4 linked regions of the Arabidopsis thaliana genome follow. The protein of the gene in region 4 interacts with the protein of the main gene of each other region in a pairwise test. Each region holds a gene or a part of one and is shown on either strand. Other genes may lie near its edges.

Evidence for each region.
Region 1: the proteins of NAC089 (region 4) and PYL7 interact in binary tests that used the Arabidopsis thaliana proteins (3 or more experiments, as listed by UniProt).
Region 2: the proteins of NAC089 (region 4) and RCAR1 interact in binary tests that used the Arabidopsis thaliana proteins (3 or more experiments, as listed by UniProt).
Region 3: the proteins of NAC089 (region 4) and PAS1 interact in binary tests that used the Arabidopsis thaliana proteins (3 or more experiments, as listed by UniProt).

What each region holds. Positions count from the first base shown.
Region 1 is NC_003075.7:445,007-449,067, forward strand, and holds PYL7 (PYR1-like 7), read left to right. Parts: upstream 1-1,971; 5' UTR 1,972-2,173; coding exon 2,174-2,323; exon of another isoform or gene 2,324-2,547; coding exon 2,548-2,763; intron 2,764-2,833; coding exon 2,834-3,103; 3' UTR 3,104-3,329; downstream 3,330-4,061. Other genes in the region: AT4G01020 (helicase domain-containing protein / IBR domain-containing protein / zinc finger protein-like protein), read left to right, coding at 1-37; AT4G01023 (RING/U-box superfamily protein), read left to right, coding at 486-541, 837-1,173, 1,259-1,370, 1,452-1,714; AT4G01030 (pentatricopeptide (PPR) repeat-containing protein), read right to left, coding at 3,330-4,061. UniProt on the Arabidopsis thaliana protein: Receptor for abscisic acid (ABA) required for ABA-mediated responses such as stomatal closure and germination inhibition. Inhibits the activity of group-A protein phosphatases type 2C (PP2Cs) when activated by ABA.
Region 2 is NC_003070.9:140,336-143,794, reverse strand, and holds RCAR1 (regulatory component of ABA receptor 1), read right to left. Parts: upstream 1,926-3,459; 5' UTR 1,658-1,925; coding exon 1,514-1,657; intron 1,372-1,513; coding exon 1,156-1,371; intron 1,085-1,155; coding exon 881-1,084; 3' UTR 534-880; downstream 1-533. Other genes in the region: HTR12 (Histone superfamily protein), read right to left, coding at 1-22. UniProt on the Arabidopsis thaliana protein: Receptor for abscisic acid (ABA) required for ABA-mediated responses such as stomatal closure and germination inhibition.
Region 3 is NC_003074.8:19,999,011-20,005,804, forward strand, and holds PAS1 (FKBP-type peptidyl-prolyl cis-trans isomerase family protein), read left to right. Parts: upstream 1-1,810; 5' UTR 1,811-2,031; coding exon 2,032-2,105; intron 2,106-2,218; coding exon 2,219-2,303; exon of another isoform or gene 2,304-2,373; coding exon 2,374-2,443; intron 2,444-2,536; coding exon 2,537-2,634; intron 2,635-2,843; coding exon 2,844-2,966; intron 2,967-3,080; coding exon 3,081-3,113; intron 3,114-3,218; coding exon 3,219-3,277; intron 3,278-3,389; coding exon 3,390-3,471; intron 3,472-3,566; coding exon 3,567-3,725; intron 3,726-3,821; coding exon 3,822-3,879; intron 3,880-4,039; coding exon 4,040-4,188; intron 4,189-4,297; coding exon 4,298-4,395; intron 4,396-4,488; coding exon 4,489-4,558; intron 4,559-4,639; coding exon 4,640-4,699; intron 4,700-4,859; coding exon 4,860-4,916; intron 4,917-4,993; coding exon 4,994-5,062; intron 5,063-5,175; coding exon 5,176-5,253; intron 5,254-5,346; coding exon 5,347-5,448; intron 5,449-5,534; coding exon 5,535-5,606; intron 5,607-5,741; and 3 more. UniProt on the Arabidopsis thaliana protein: PPIases accelerate the folding of proteins. It catalyzes the cis-trans isomerization of proline imidic peptide bonds in oligopeptides. Essential protein regulating cell division, adhesion and elongation throughout the plant development and embryogenesis.
Region 4 is NC_003076.8:7,375,317-7,379,317, forward strand, and holds NAC089 (NAC domain containing protein 89), read right to left. Parts: upstream 2,461-4,001; 5' UTR 2,183-2,460; coding exon 1,981-2,182; exon of another isoform or gene 1,801-1,980; coding exon 1,547-1,800; intron 1,381-1,546; coding exon 1,150-1,380; intron 1,064-1,149; coding exon 728-1,063; 3' UTR 523-727; downstream 1-522. UniProt on the Arabidopsis thaliana protein: Transcription factor involved in plant cell division.

The sequences.
Region 1 (4,061 bases), on a different chromosome or scaffold from region 4:
AGAGCACCCTGTTGCCCAGCCTGTTCACAGGCTTTGAAACCGGACTGGACCCATGTATCTATATCCTGTAACATCTGGTTTGCTTAATGTGTACATATATGTGAACATAGTGTAGTTCGGTATAGTACCTTCTTTAACCAATTGAATGAACCGATCATATTCTAATCCGGATGCCAAATAAACTAAAGATTGTTGTAAATGAAAGACTTGGGACTTGACTCGCTACATCACTGATTACGCGTAAATGTCTACAGAGAGTTTACTAAGTTGAAAGAAAACTACTTCCTAACATACAGAGACATCGCCATTAATGGCCTTAACTTAAGAGTCAAAAAAACATTTGATGGGCCTACCCTTAATTAAAAGCCCAATTCGATATTCGAATCGAACCCACCGGCCTAACTAAACTGTTCAGTGTCCCCAAATCTTTTTGCAACTTCTTTCTTCTTCATATTCTTCTCACCGTGAAGGCGTCGTCACCGCCGATGTTATTATCTCCGGCGATGTTTTCTGATCATCACTGCTTTACTCTTACTGCGAGGTTGGTTATTTTCAAATCTTCTTCTCTCCGTTCTTTCTTTCGAAGTCAGAAACTTTGCCGCCATTTTCAGTAAAAGGGTTGATTCTACATTCCCTAGAATCATCTAATAACTAGGGTTTTCATTAGGTTACGTATTGGTTAAAATTAGTTGAAATCATGTTTCTTATTTCTCTTTTCGAACTAAATTTGGTAATCAGATCTCTAGAGTGTATGATTTGTCATAACATCTAATCGAAATTAGAATCCGTATATGTTTCATTCAGAGAATAAATCCTGACTTGTTAATTTGATATAGAATGTCAGATTCTGATGAAGCTAAAACGTCGGAGGAAGAATCTCAACTTGCTGAGCAAGAAACAGAGACTCAAGAAGGTGAAATGACTAAAAACTTAAAGAAAAGAGATCTTGATGCAGTAGAAGATGAAGATTCGAATAACGAAAGCTCCAGATTAGAGAAACTAGAGAAGAAGATAAAAAAAGAAACAGCGAGGAAGCTTGAAACTGACTTTGTGCTAACAGGGGAAGAGGATGATGATGCATTGCCCTTAGCCTGTTCCATTTGCCAAAACCCATTCTTGGATCCTGTTGTCACCAACTGCAACCATTACTTCTGCGACAAGTGTGCTCTAAAGGTAATCTTTTCCTTACAACAAGTTTCGTAATTTCTGAAAACACACTCAAAACAGATTTTCCTTGTTATTTTTTTTCATAATGCAGCATCACACTGAGAACGATACTTGTTTTGTGTGTAACGAGCCAACTCTAGGGCTTTTCGACACAGCCGTGGAGATCAAGGAAAGAATAGAGGAAGAACGTGAGAAAGCCAGAGGTTTGTTAAAAACGCAAAACTCTCTGTTTTGACACCAAAAACCTACTCTTACAAAACTCGCTCGGTGATGTCTCTTTGTAGCCATGGTAAAGGAAGTGACAGCAATGTTAGAAAAGGCATCGACAATGGCGGATGACGCCAAGGGCGTAGCGCAAAAGGTTGTAAAAATGGTGGAGGAGATTGAAACAATGGTGGAAAAAGTGGCGGCTATGGCCACAAAGGCGGGAGAAACGGCGACAATGGCGGCAGATATGGTGAAAGAAGCTGAGGAGACGATGGAAACAGCTAAAGCTAATATGTCCAAAGCCTTTGTGGTAATGAAGTCGGTGAATTGGAACGTGTAAATCGGGTCAAAACAGAGTTTTATTGTGATCTCATGCTGACATCAGCTACAATCTTTATCTAATAAGATAGATTCTCACAAGATTCTTTTATCTATCTACTTTTTAGAGAAGATGAGATCATACTTCGGAGATAGATAGGTGTCGTAAAAATTGGGAAGCTTACTTGGCAGGAGAAGAGAGATATACACACGTGCTTAAAGTCAACAGCTAATCCAAAAAGGTAGACGACAAACCAGTTAAACTAAGACACGTAATCTATCTTAAAGATTTGTCGGTTCATCGTAAATCCGTTGGTGGATTAATATATGTCGGTGTCTTCGTTGATTTTCTTAGCCTAACCAACCAAACATAAATAAAAATCGAAGCTTTACTTTGTTTGCTTCTATTATATCCACTTCCAACAAGATTCCTCAAAAGGAAAGAAGAGAAAGAAGATAAGAGATATCTGGTTGGTCGGAGATGGAGATGATCGGAGGAGACGATACAGATACAGAGATGTACGGAGCTCTAGTGACGGCACAGTCCTTAAGGTTGCGTCATCTTCACCACTGCAGAGAGAACCAGTGTACCTCTGTTCTCGTCAAATACATTCAAGCTCCTGTTCATCTTGTACGCTCTTCTATTCTCTCATCCTCTGTTTTTCTTTCTCTGTTTTCTTTATGTACTTTGTTGAAGTTAATTCTGTCTGATTCACCGGGAAAATGAAATTTCGCCGGATTTAGGGTTCCCGATCTTTCTATTTTTGTTTGCAAATTCTCGTTTTTTTTTTAGTTTACTTGTTGGTCTCTCTTAGTCTTAAAGCTAAGGATAGTGAATATACATATATGATTCAGGTTTGGTCACTGGTGCGGAGATTTGATCAGCCGCAGAAATACAAACCATTTATAAGCAGATGCACTGTAAATGGTGATCCTGAGATCGGTTGTCTCAGAGAAGTAAATGTCAAATCTGGTCTTCCAGCAACCACCAGTACAGAGAGATTGGAACAGCTTGATGATGAAGAACACATCCTCGGTATCAACATCATTGGTGGTGATCATAGACTTAAGGTGACTAAATCCAAATCTCATAGTATTCAGAAACATTAGCGGTTGCTATAATGGTTATTGTTTTCTGCAGAATTACTCTTCGATCTTGACTGTGCATCCGGAGATGATTGATGGAAGGTCAGGAACTATGGTGATGGAGTCTTTTGTTGTGGATGTTCCTCAAGGCAACACCAAAGATGATACATGTTACTTCGTGGAATCACTCATAAAGTGTAACCTCAAATCCTTGGCTTGTGTCTCTGAAAGATTGGCTGCTCAAGACATTACCAATTCCATCGCAACTTTCTGTAACGCTTCCAATGGATACAGAGAGAAGAATCATACAGAAACCAACCTTTGAAGATTTGGCTAGATTAGTCCCACGAACAAACTCAGTGAAGGAAATTTAGATTCATAGAAGCACGTGTGATCATGCTTCTCTGCTGCTTTACTCAGATCAGCTCCATGGGCCATTTTCGAGCATGCAGTCAAAGTTTTGATGTAATTTGTTTTCTGGTGTTTGTTGGACAGTGTCTGTATTTACGCACCATTGTTAGAAAAAACAGAGCTAGGTAGTATCTATATTATCACCAAGAGTCGTTGCAGGAACATTTTCCGTCTCTGAAATGATGAACCCTTGCCCCTTCTTGTAAAACAATCTCACGGTTTCTCAAAACCGACATGTATTTGGCTACGGTGTGGCTATCAGAACATATATTCGTGTTTTTGACCACTCTTATAGGAGCTAAGCCTTTCTTCTTGATAAGGCCATACGTCATTGCTAACTTCTCTGTATGTCCCATAAGCAGCTTCTCTTTCTCTGAATCACTTATGTCTTGGTGTATACAGCTTGTGTCTGGCACATAACCTGATTTCTTCATCTCAGAGACTAATTTGTACAGCTCAAAGTATATATCTCCTTCATCAGGATGTGTTTTTCCCTCCGCATAGAAGATGTGAACCGTTTGATCTATCTGAATCCAGCTCCACAGATCCTGGACTCTCACCCTGTTATTCCTCATTAAGTTCCGTATACGTTCAACATCTTCCCATCTGTTCAAATTACTGTACAAGTTTATCATCATCATGTAGTTAGCTGAATTGTGTGGTTCTAGTACTTGAAGCCTCTTCCAAGCGATTTCCGCGAGTTCTAGGTCTCTATGAATCTTACAAGATGAAAGAAAAGCACCCCAAATAGTTGCATCGGGTTTTAATGACATTGTTTGAATGAAGTCCCAGGCTTCATCAAGATAACCCGATCTCCCGAGCAGATCTACCATGCAAGAGCAGTGTTCGATGGTCGGGATTATACCATAACG
Region 2 (3,459 bases), on a different chromosome or scaffold from region 4:
CGCGATGCTTGGTTCTCGCCATTGATTTTTACTGCTGGAGAAATCGCACCATGAGAGAGAGAGAGGAATCGTAAAATCGGAAAAGAGAATCGACGAAAACTGCGATTATGAAAGTCACCTGCTGAGAAATTTCCCGCTAGATACGAAAAGATTAGAAGATTGGAGCGGAACTTTTACTTTCCCGCTCGACACTCAAATTTTGATTTTAAAATCGAATCTGCTTCACAATTTGTTTCAGTCAAGAGTCTCTCTGAACAACTTATTACAATTTGCACTAAACCTGTGGCTTCACATAGAGGGTTCGACTCGATTGTTAGCCTTCTTTAGTTCCTGTTTTACCCCTGGTCTGTATACAATATTACATTCAAATATGTACCTGTTTGTTTAGATGAAAATTGGAAACAGAGGGGAATAGGTTTTGTGTGTTTTACCGTTAAACCTCAATTCAAAATCTTTGTCTCTCTCTCTCTCTCCCAATTTATGCTCATCTTTTCAAGTTAATGAAATTGACACAGTTTTTCAACTTTCTGCCTCAGATTCTTTACAAGTTCTCAGCATCCAATCATAGGTTCTGTTCAATAGAGAAGTGGAATCTGAAGTCTACAGAAACATCTTTTGTGAACTATATATTATACATCATAAACCATTCACATTTACATTGTTTACAAAAATATCTACAAATAACAAACCACCAGGAGATATCTTACATCAAAACTTCACCATTGGGACAATATGTACATCTTTTTAGACTGGTCATTACCGAGGATAGATATCTATATATATATCTAGGCCAAACCAAAAAAATCCTGAAGAATATTGATTATATCACAAACTGGAATTGATACTTCACTTCAATGCCCTTGTTCATTGATTATGTAGTTCACTGAGTAATGTCCTGAGAAGCCAATCTTTCAGAAACATCTGCTAGTGACTTGAGATTACATCTGATAAGTGCTTCAACAAAGTAGCAAGTCTCATCCTTTGTGTTACCTTGAGGAACATCAACTACAAACGATTCAATCACCATCGTTCCTGCTCTTCCCTCGATTATCTCCGGATGAACCGTCAAAATCGACGAGTAATTCTGCAAACAAACAATCAATGAGAATCTGCATATAAACAAACATCAATGAGATTTGATTTCTCTCGCTGTACCTTAAGTCTGTGATCACCACCGATGATTTTGATACCGAGGATGTGTTCTTCATCATCAAGAAGTTCTAATCTCTCAGTAGATGTTGTTGCAGGAAGACCAGATTTAACATTGACTTCTCTAAGACTGCCGATTTCAGGATCACCGATTACTGTACATCTGCTCACAAACGGTTTGTATTTCTGCGGCTGATCAAATCTCCGTACAAGTGACCAAACCTAAAAAAAATCAATTATAATCAATCGTTAAACAGAGATTTGGGGGAAAAAACCCTAAATCGATGGTTGGGATCAAAATTGACGGATCATGGAGAAAATGGTACGAAAAGGGTGAAATTAGTGGTAGATTGGAGAAGCTTACGAGATGAAGAGGAGCTTTGATGTGTTTGACAAGAGCAGAGGTACACTGGTTTTCTCTGCACAGATGTTGATGATGCGTCCGTACGTATTGCACCGTCTCGAGACCACCGTACATCGCCGTGCCGCCTTCAACGCCGTCCATCATATCTCTCTCTCTCTCTCTCTCTTTCGTTCTTCGTTGTTATCTCACAAGGGAGAATCTCTGGAAATGGATAATAAATACAAGGAAGAAGAAGAAGATGCTTCGTTATGCCAAAACAAAATTACTTGTTTATGTTTTTTGGTTTCTTTTAATGAACCCACCGACATAATAACTTTTTACTTTTGTACCTAAACTCTTTTTTATAGCTTCCTTCTTCTCCTTCACACATTTTCAGCTTTTCAAACCAAACAAAAACACAACAAGATACTAATTTTTTAATGTAACAAAAAAACAAAATATTTAAGCAAGTTTTATTGTATGACGTTTTGGGGACCTATATAATCCGAACAAAACAAAACAGATTGCTTAGATAATTATTTGTTTTGATTAGGTAAGATCGTTTCAAACTTTATAGATAGTTTTGTTAATTTAAATTCAATTTTAGACCATATTCATTATAATAGCTAATTTTTTAGACACAAAATGTCGTTAATATACCAGAAATTTATAAATGAGTGATTCTCCATGTATCAGGTCTCATATGTCTTAGACCACATCTTATTAGATATAGCTCTCGTTGCCTTTAAACCTTGTTGTTAAACATTAATTAATTGTATCAAGCTAAATGTCTAACACCATATCCTATCTGCAAAGTGACTGTTCCATGTAGTCATGTACGACACGTAAGGTGTAATTTCTCTTCTAGGAGGAGAAGGCATTTCTACAAGAAGATTGGTACAAGGCATCCACAATCTAAAATCATGAAACAAGAACTTTAATCTGTTTGAGACAAAGTCCTTAATTATATCATACCGAATGTAGACAAACTAGTTTTTGTTAAATTGTATTTGTTGTGAATCACACCTCATACGAAGGAAAGATGAGATACCACAAAGAATCTACAATAAATCATCATTCGATTCATCTCCACTAGTCTAAAGTTGCCCCTCCTCCATCTTCTTCGTGAAACTCAAGCTTTCGAAACATATGGTGGAAGTCACTTTTGATAACCACCGCCGCTAATTACGCTTTCTAACCAGTAATATTAATGGATTACTATATAATTAGTGAATTCTATTTCTTTCTTTTTTGAATTCTACTTTTGTTTTTCCCAAAGGAGAAAAGACTCACCTTTACTTGGTTTTCTCAAACAAAAACAACATAATCACTTTTTAGATAAATCTAGTTAAATGATTACTTATCTAATTATCTTCTAACATATGTATTAATTATGGTTTAAGGTTTTCATAACGAACAATCTTCCGATTTTGTAACCATTTTAAACAACACATATAATTGTAACCGGAGGTTTTCTTGTTCAATATGAATATGGTTTATGCTTACATATCTCATTAATTGTCTGAAATTGACGTTATGATAAAATAGGGATTTAGTTTATATATAACATTTTCTGCAATCATATTTTTTAAAAAATGTTAAGTGATAATATAGTACTTAAAAGAGCGGTAATTGACGATAATTACAGTAACCTTATCAGATAAAAATTTACCCAAAACAAAGCTTATCGGATAGGATCACCTTTGGCACTAGCTAGGCATGCGAACTTAAACGCAAAAGACGACTTTGGCGTAAATTATTAACTGCTTCAAGATAAAAACAAGGAGCCTTTTTAGTGACAGCGACAATGAGCTAAATACGGTTAAATAATAGGAAACCAATATACGTGTCATATTTTCATTGGTTTATTGTCTGTCATTTTCATGTTCACGTATTATGTCGTTTCTCGTGAACTTGACACGTGTAATTCTTCTTTTTGTTCATTTGGATAACTTTTTTGCCGGCCA
Region 3 (6,794 bases), on a different chromosome or scaffold from region 4:
CTATGTTCTTAAGAAAACTTACCATTGAGACTACTACTGACAGTCTGACAGAAGTAACCAATACAAAAAGATAAAAAGGTGATATGTACTATATACCCAAAACCTAATGAGCCTTGTTATTAGCAACAAAACTCAGGTCATATAGTAGTATTTAAACAAGTGAAATGGTAAAATCGTATAGAAAGGAATTTGGCAACCTATTAATTAATGGATCATTAAATATTTAGAAGCACACGAGCACTTAAATAACTCGATTTTTGATTAAATGCTGAAATGCTGGTCTTCTTTGTGGATCAACGTGCAGAGTTTGTCCTATGCCATTTGTTACTCCAGATTAATAAATATTGACAACTTCTATTAGTATTGAAATTTGAGTTGTGGCAGCTGTTTTTAGTTGTATTGGTTTTCTCGGTGTTTGTTTCCAACAACTAGTACCAAATCATCATGTCCAGTTTTTTTATTATTACTAGTAGTATTTTCTTTCGTCGACCTATATTATTGTTTCAAGTTTTGTAACCACATAATCTAATTAGCACAGTAATGTAGTCATCAAATAACAATTCGTCTTGCTCGAGTCCTGAATCCAATACCCTGATCTAAACCATTTTCTATGGGAGTATGGGAATGGGACTCACATTTTCATGTGGGTGTTTTTGTATGTTGACTGCTTCACGCGGTTCGTATCGTTCTACTAAATTATTGGTAATTGTTCGGATATATAACATTTATGAAAACCATTTGCACTTTCACATGACTCGCATTAATGCCACTTTCCTCATTTTCCATAGTTCACATAAGAACAACATAGTACATATACTATAAACTATGTGATTGATTACTATTTTGAAGAAAATAAAGCTTGCATACATACAGGTTTCTGTATTCACATTTAGATTTTCGGATTCACAAGCTCGAAGTATTCATATTTGTATTTTCAAGTTATTTTCTCTGTGTTATACTCGGAAACCACATTGGCCTATCTAATTAACAAAACATATGATATGCTTAAATGGCATTAAATGCTAATATGAAAAACATGTCCTATGGATTATTGGTAAGTGCGAGATTTAATGAAAGTTACAATGCTTGATTTCTTAAAGGTTACAATTTCGTACTATTGAAGACAAACTATATTTGCAAGAGAAGAAATTAGCTACCAAAATTAATACAGTATAGTATTCCCTCTTCTGTCACTATCTGTTCACTGCTTCTGCAAACCAATATTAAAACAAGTTGACCTATTTGCAACTATCTGTCTCCAATTATGTTTCAATTTTTGTGTATTTTGGATTTTCTTTGCTCGGCCTTTTTCCTTATATGGATTCTGAATGCTAGGAAAAAACAGAATAGAGTGAATTGGTTCTCACATGCATAGAAGAATTTTCAAGAGAAACATATTTGCTCAACTAACAACTACCAACCCATCACCAAATTTTCGTTTCATTTGTTGTACAAATTATAGACCCAAAAATGTTCATCCACAATCGATTGAGGTACCTCATGTACACCTATATTAAACATACAACATAATTCCAAAATGGTTTGGATCCGGTCTGGTTTTTTACTTTGAGGCAAATAACATTAGATTATTTAAGATTGAAAGCTCACAACTAGCCTTCTTTTAGGGCAAAGTACACGTAACCAATTTTTTAATTTTCATATCGAACTTAACAAATTGTAACCATTTGCAAAAATGAAGCAAACAAAAAGTACAAAACAGATTACATGGACTATTATATAATTGGAAGCCCGTTTGGCCTTAAAGCCCGTTAAAAAAACATATGTGTATTTTTTAGCAATATGTCTGATAAAAAAATTTAAAAACTAATCTTGTTTAATTCAGTAAGACATTTACTAGACTTTTCACAATTCAACACAGTTGTTGTTGGTTGAGCTACCCAGCCAGTATCAAGAGAGGAAGGTAGAGAGGAGTGAGAGAGAGCTTTGGGATCGATTTCATGTCGTAGATCTTTCACTCTGGGTTTGCGTTCCACAAAATCCTAATTCGCGGAACTCTGGATTTGATCGGCGATGGCGGTAGGCGATCAGACGGAGCAGAATTACTTGCCGAAGAAGAAGAAATCCGAAACGGAAGATGATAAGAGGTTCATGATTGTTTTATCTTCTTTGTAATCTATGTTTGAATCAGTTGATTTTATTTTGTTGTTGCTGGGAGTAGTGAGTAGATCATTAATTTGAGAAATTGAATGTGGAATAGGAGGAAGAAAATTGTTCCCGGGAGCTTGTTGAAAGCTGTGGTGCGACCTGGAGGAGGTGATTCGAGCCCCGTTGATGGTGATCAGGTTAATAATTTTGGTTTTGTTTTTGCTTCTCGTGGTCAATTTTGGTTGTTTATGAGTGTTTTTTCGTCAGGTTATTTATCACTGCACTGTACGGACACTGGATGGTGTAGTTGTGGAATCTACGAGGTCAGAATCTGGAGGTGAGATTGATTGATGAAACATTTCTCAGTAGGGTGTTGCTTTTAGCTTTTTGTTAGGGGCATCGTTGAATGTGTTGTTTGATGTTCCTTCAGGGAGAGGTGTACCGATCAGAGATGTCTTGGGAAACAGCAAAATGATTCTTGGATTGCTCGAAGGAATTCCCACGATGCACAAGGGTGAAATTGCAATGGTAACTCTAAAAACTCTTTAAAGATCAGTGTCGCCTCAATGATAACGTTTGTGTCTCTTTACTCGGCTGCGTAGTTTGGGTTCTGAAGAGGGTCTTGTTGATTTACCTCAAGTTCAATGAGTCGATTCGCCAAATCTTCCATTAGCTATTTCAACTTACTTTCTTGATTCTCAACGGCTGAAAAGTCTTTATCTTTTTCCTTTTTTCAGTTCAAGATGAAACCTGAAATGCACTATGCAGAGATTGATTGTCCAGTCTCAGCTCCAGAAAATTTTCCAAAAGATGATGAGCTTCATTTTGAGATTGAGTTGTTGGATTTTTCTAAAGCCAAGGCGAGATCTCATCACTAACCAAGATAACAGTGCATTAGTTAGCCGAAAGACTCTGAAATTTTGCATTTCATCTGTTTTGACTTATGCTTTCCTTTCCTTTGTGTTAATTTCCAGATTGCAAGTGATGATCTGGGGGTCATCAAGAAGGTAGGACCTGATTTTCCATATATGTAGACATATCAAATGGGTCAGGGATGATGTATTTCTTGTTCGTACTGATGGCTCAAGCATTGCTTTCCTTTTCTATGAAAGATTCTAAATGAAGGTGAGGGCTGGGAATCTCCCAGAGAACCCTATGAAGTGAAAGCCAGGTAATTTATTCTTGATCATTCCTGCATTTTGGGTCAAAATATATTTAACCTTGTTTTTCCATTTGGGGCAACGTTGAGTGAAGTTTTAATGCATTTCTGTGGTGTATATTAGAATATCTGCTAAATCCGGTGATGGACACGTGATCTTCTCTCACACAGAAGAACCTTATTTCTTCACATTTGGAAAATCTGAGGTAATTGTTAAGTTTATGGGGCAGTTTTTACTCTCTGTCCATGCAAATCCATTCTAGTGGAATACATTTCTGACTATTGCTCGTCAATTAGGCAGGTGCCTAAAGGTCTTGAAATCGGAATTGGAACCATGGCTCGGAAGGAGAAGGCAGTGATATATGTTCGCAAGCAGTACTTGACTGAATCTCCTTTGTTGCATATAGATCAAGACCTTGAGGAAGTTCATTTTGAGGTTGAACTGGTACATTTCATTCAGGTAAGAAAGACAAATGCAATGCAATAAGAAAACAGTATTTTGTGCATTTAAGAATTGGGAAACTGAGCGACTGACATTCAAGTTCTCGCTTTGAAGGTGCGGGACATGCTTGGAGATGGACGTCTCATAAAACGTCGAATTCGAGATGGAAGAGGTATGTTTCACACTTTCTTTTCAACTGTCTCTTATCTGTTTCAACATGGTGCGGGTTTTTGTTCTTATATATCTTGCTGGGGCATCTGCTAGATTCCAGCTCTTGTTTATAGTTTATCCGCTAGACTATTCTGATCTACAACGTTTGACCAACTTATTAGGCGAGTTTCCAATGGATTGTCCTCTCCAAGATAGTCGTTTAAGCGTTCACTACAAGGGCATGCTTCTCAATGAAGAGAAGACTGTCTTCTATGATAGCAAGATTGACAATAATGATCAACCGTTGGAGTTCAGTTCAGGAGAAGGACTGGTCAGTTACTCCAACGTTTATAGGAAAACCTAGTGGAGTTCTTTAGACGTTTTAGTTGAAATATATCTCTACGCACGGACTGGTTAAGATTATTCTGTCGTATTTGCAGGTCCCTGAAGGGTTTGAGATGTGTACTCGTTTGATGCTACCTGGGGAGATTGCTCTTGTTACATGCCCCCCTGATTATGCATATGACAAATTTCCGAGGTTATACTCTTAACTGTGTAAATAACACTAACACGATAGTGTATAAACTGTTGTCGGAGAAATAAACGCATTTCATGTTTTCTTTTCTGATAGACCACCTGGCGTGTCTGAAGGTGCACATGTTCAGTGGGAGATTGAACTCCTTGGTTTCGAAACGCCAAGAGTAAGTTGGTCTAGTGTTGATACTTACCATGGAAATTGTAAACAGCTTCCGTTTCTTATAAGTCTAGAGATTCTGTCTCAGGACTGGACTGGCTTGAACTTCCAGAGCATCATGGACGAGGCAGATAAAATCAGAAGCACGGTATGGATAAAATATTCTGCTACCATTTATAATTTGACCTATAGTCCTAAATTTTTATCACTTCAGAATTTGCTATTAGCTAATCTTTTCTGCAATCAGGTCACACCAGATCTATTAATTTATGGTTCTTCTCTCCTTTTGGTTATACTATGAACTTCAGGGTAATAGGCTTTTCAAAGAAGGAAAATTTGAGCTCGCAAAAGCAAAGTACGAAAAGGTAATAGAAGTCATGTGATAACCAATTCCAGTATTAGCATTTGTTTCATTGTGTCTGAGCGGTAAATCCAAAACCAGGTGCTCCGGGAATTTAATCATGTTAACCCACAAGATGAAGATGAAGGAAAAATATTTGGTGACACAAGGGTGAGTTCCATCTTCTCATTACGTTTGTAGTTGCAGATACGTCTAGATTTGATAATATTAGAAGTATTAAGTACTAACTAGCTCTCGTATCCTTGCTCTGCTGATATTTGAAGAATATGTTACATCTGAATGTTGCGGCTTGCTTGCTTAAAATGGGAGAGTGGAGGAAGTCTATAGAGACATGCAATAAGGTAGCATTCAATAAACAATTCTCTTAAGAAGGCTTGATTCTGGAATAAGAGGTTGGGATTTCTGAGACCTTTTGTGCACCAATTTCCAAATAGGTTCTAGAAGCAAAGCCTGGTCATGTGAAAGGTCTATACCGCCGCGGAATGGCTTACATTGCAGGTGGAGAGTATGATGACGCTAGAAATGACTTCAATATGGTATATTATGCTAAACCTGCATATCATTATCTAGTGAATAGATTCAGAAATCTGCTTACTCACTGACTTATGTGTCTGTGTTTTAGATGATCAAAGTGGATAAATCATCAGAAGCTGATGCGACCGCTGCTCTATTGAAACTGAAGCAGAAGGAACAGGTCAGTGTTTGAAAACTATCTCAACCAAATGTCCACCCGAATCGAGTTCATTAAGGCTACTTATGGTTTGGGCTTGTTTTGCCAATTTTGTTACTTAATATAAGATCTCTGAGTTGTTTTCTTTTGAGCTCACAGGAAGCGGAGAGCAAGGCTAGAAAACAGTTCAAAGGATTATTCGACAAGAGACCGGGGGAGATAACCGAAGTTGGTTCAGAAATAAGAGAGGAGTCTAAAACTATAGAAGAAGTAGATGAGACAAAGGATAATGATGATGATGAAACACTGGAAGAAGAAGGAGCTACGACAGTGAGCACGGAAAGGAAGAGGAAATGGTCGGAGAAAGCCTGGCCGTTTCTGAAGAACGTGATGCTCCAAATCGGAATCCAGCTTGGTGTTGTTCTGATAGGGATTTTGATTTTCCAGTTTGTGAGCGCCAAATTTACATGAGAGAGATATGAATGAATAAACAAACCAACGGCACTGTAGACTCAGAAAATATAAAACTAATGGATTAAACGTTAAGCTTAATGTATTTTTGTTTGGTTTAGTTTATGAAAGTAGTTGCTCAAAGATGGAATTATTTGCACCACTACACGATCCTCTCTTGCTTCCTCAAGTGATTGGTGTTTGTTTGTTTCATTCAAATTCTACGAGATGATGACAAGAAAGAAGATGTTAATGTAGAACATGACTTAATTGTATAATCTCCCAAAATTTATTCATTAGTCATCTTTTTATCCTATAGGTAATAGGATTATCCTACTGTATAGATTGTTGTAATGATTAGTGTTAGGTTTTTGTTGAAAAACAGTATCTACTTTTCTATTTTTTCTACTTTTAGTATAAGATGTTTTGGGAAAACGAATTATTTTACAAAGAAAATGTTTTGTACATATGCAAAATATGTATATAAATATGCTTTAACGAATTTTATGTTGTAGGAAATGTGTGATTATATAAATCAACTTTAGATAACACAGAGTAATTAATCCCACCCACCAATCATCCACTCGGCTGAATAAAATGTCGCCACTTTTAAAAACAAAAAGAAAGATTAAACCGTTTTCTCCGTGTGGAACTCGCGTTTTATCGTACACCCAAAACGTTGCTTAAATTGATTTTGCAAAACGCTGATTTTGCTTCTTATCGGAGATTTTTTTGGGGGCAACGGAGAAATTTGTTTTAGGG
Region 4 (4,001 bases):
ACTATAAAAAGCAACTCCATCAAATCAATGACCTAGGGTTTCAATACGAATCTCCTTCATATGTAACTAACTTACTAAGGATAAGCAAATAACACATACTACAGAAAAACTGAATTTCCTCAGCACAACAAAGCAAAATTGAAGCATCGTAGAAGATATAACGAAGACGATTAAGTATCTCCAACTTACAGATCGATTTATCACAGTGAAATCAAACTTCATTATCGAATCATCAGCTTTTCTAGGGTTTCTTAAACCGGAAAAATTGACGAAACTGATCGAGATCAATAAAATCGGCTTGACGGAGTATTGAGGAAACTTGACTTCTCCAAAATGGGTTCTCGTATAGAAGAAGAGAGAAAGAAACAAAAGCAGAGGTTTAATGGCGGCGAGAAAATTCTACAAATCTTAGTGCAACAACCATCTGGACGAGAAAGATAAACAGTACGGATTTGGAAAATAGTCATTTACTAATTTGCCCCCATCATTTATCCATTCTCTGATTCTCATTAAACACACCACTTAATAAGCCTTGAAGTGTAAAAACTATATCCACTAGTTCTTCTGTGCTTGATATTTCAGGTTTTGATTTGGTTGCACAGATTTGAAGTAGAAGTGTAAAACATAAACCGTTTACACAAAAACATCATATAATCCTTGTCAATGTCCGAGAAAAGATGATACAAACATAGCTAGGACACTGTTTTTCGCTACTTCCATAAGCCTCTTATTCTAGATAAAACAACATTGCTATCAGAGCCACTACACCTATAATAACATCCCATCGTGCCTTGTTCACTGATTTGATCGAGTATAAACCCACGAAGCAGCTCGACAATGATTCCGTGGCGTCTTTTCCTTTCTTCTTCTGTGATGGTCTTTCCTCTAACAGTGATGACATTTGTTTGTCTATCATGTTTGGTAAAGGAAGTACCCTTATCTCCATTGATGCTGATTCTAGTGTTGGCACTTCGTTTGGTGTGTTCCCTGTCATCACCGCTTCATCGAGATTGATGATTTCGTCTCTTAGGATATCCGCAAAGAAATCCTCGTCATTATCCACCTAAACCACACACACATAACATTCATTAAGAAGAACGACAACAATCAAGAACCATCATACAACAATTAGAAGCCAGGTGACAAAACCTGTAGATTTTCTGATGACTCTGCCATCTCAGCGAGTAGTTTCTCCCCTGATTCACCTGCTAGGTAAAAATCAACCAAGTTGTCCCAATCAGACGGGCTCCCTGAACTCGTAGCGCCATTTTGGACTTTCGCATGCTTCTCGGCTGATGAATTTGGCTTTGGTGCCTTCTGACTTGTACCACTATTGTATTCTTTGTTCCTCCTAACCCGGCAAACAACCATAGCATCATCCTAGAATTTACATAAACATAATCAATCAACTCAAGCCAAAGACAAAACTCCTAAAATTTTACTGTATTCCTCTTAGAGACTCAAAAAGTAGCCAAAGTCACCACCTCTTATGTAATGGTTAACAATTAATCTATAAGAAAAAACAAACTCTCGAGAACAGTTTTACCAGAGATACTCCTTTCACGCAGTACTCGTGCATAATCCAGTCAGTTCTTTCGCCTTTTGGTGCACGACCAATATGGAAAACAAGCGTCCTCTTTGTTCCAATGACCTCAGAACCAGACTTCACATCACGCTCTTTCCCAGTTGCTTTCCAGTATCCCATCTTCGTTGCTCTCCTGTTCTGTGAACCATGTGGATACTTTTTCCCACGCGCACAGAAGAAGAACCACTCGCTATCAGATTTCACAATCGACTTATCTGCAAAGAACAAACACACAAAAAAAATTGTCAATTCCAATCCAAGAGCCAAAAAATAGAAACTTTATATCTTAGGCACCCAAAATAGAGATCTCTCCTGAAGCCTGAAGAACAACAAAATCAAATTCCAAGTAGAAGAAAGACACAAAAGAATCAATTGGTTCGAATTCGAAGACAAACCGGGTAAATCCCAAGGCTCGAAATTGTAAATCTCAAGGTCCGGTATAACCTCAACGGACCTCTCCAAGCCATCCATCTTCCGCTTCAGGTAATACGAAATCAACTCCACATCCGTCGGCGAGAATTTAAACCCAGGAAACACCGTCGACGCTTCCATCGACGCCGCCGTATCCTTAGAAACTCCAACCGCCTTCGTGTCCATGAAGGCTCGCGCGTATACAACAGTCGCCACAAAAAGAGCGCGTAAGAAATCGGCCACCGCCCAAAGAGTAAAATCCGGGAATTTTCGATAACCTGAAGGATTTTTCTTCTCAGTGTGGTCTCTTCTCACTTGCTCAGGGAGCTTTTGAATTGTTATTGGAACACTTCACAGGTGCACACATATGGGTTTTTGCATACGTGTTGCCAAGGCATTGCTTAATCTACGTGTGCATGCCACGTCACTAAACCTAGTTATATTATAGGTTTTATTTCATTTAGACCCTTAATGTTTTTACGTACTCCCAATTTACGACTTATTGTTTAGTGTTTTCAGATAAAGTCCCAATATATATCCGAAATCTTACTATCGATCAATCGCTCACAATTATATATCCCAAAATATCTTGTTCAGGATCTCGTAATCAACAAGCGTTACCTCAAAGTTTTTGTTGATTTGAAGCTTAAGGGTTAACCACTTATCATTACAAGAAAACTTATCCTTCTTGATGGATTTCAACTGCTCCACAAGACTTTCCATATAGTTAAGTTTAATCAAAAACTCATGTTCAAAAAAGCTAAACAAGAAAGGTGAATTTTCGCAAATCTCCCTCCGTAAAACCTCGTACGTCTTCGAAATAGTATTAGTAGTAAAATCTGTGGACTATGTTTCTGTGTCAAGGTACGACAGGGAAAACGAAATGTATGAGTGAACTTTATTGTTGTTTCCATGATGAAATGGGGTTACAAATTACGATCAAATTATACTCAAATCATTATTTGTAAAAAAACTAAAGTGATATTAACGTGGTTAACTCTGTTCTGTTAATTTTTTTGGTGATGTGAATCCAAAAATTACTTTGAAAGTTTCTCGTACAATTAAAAGTTTAAAGTTGATGATGAACGGAAACTATAAACAATCATAACAAGAAATTCTCCAAATTATTTCAGCAACAAATTTATATTTTGTCAAGATCAACAATGATCGATAACGATAATATGATTTAAGAGTTTTTTCATACCAAAACTCTTTAGAATTAAAAATCCTCCTTTCATAGGCCTTTGAACTAAAAAATAGAACTCTTCAACAATATTTTAGTCAAAAGCTAATGATACGTGAAAGAGTTCGATACCTTTTATAACACCATCCAAGGATATAGATCAAGTCTAAAACTAAGAAAAGAGATAAACATCTAATCTTCTAATCCTCATACCTTCGAAAAGTAAACAATAATTAATATTGAATGCTAACAAGTAACAACCAAAATATATAAACAAACGCTTTGTTTGGTTTTTAAGGTTGGTTTGTTATCGAGGGGGTATTTTATCTTTTGAATTTTGTAAAAAATCTATAAATATAGGTGATGATTTTAGAAAAAAATGAGGATTTTTTTACACATTTTGGCATTTCCCCCTACAGTTAAAAAGAGAGTAAAAATCAAAATATATATCATGTGTTGTACAAGTAAACACCTACCAACCAAGCCCATCAAGAAGATACTACTACTAGAATCACTCATTTCCTCTATATATCTTATTGGTGACAAACTGACCAGTCACCAATAAATGTCTCTAGTCACGGCGGCTCCTCCGGTCAACATCGATCAAATCTTTCCCGTGGTTGACGTATACACTTGCGATTCTTCCTCCATCGTACAATATGCATGCATATAAATACCAATATAGGTGATGGTTATTGTAAATGTTTTTAGAGAAAATGAGGATTTTTTAAACCCATTTTTCCCTTCACTAAAAAAGAATCGACACACAAAAAGAGAGAGTTTATAAAATACACGATAATATCAAAGTTAAACACACACCAA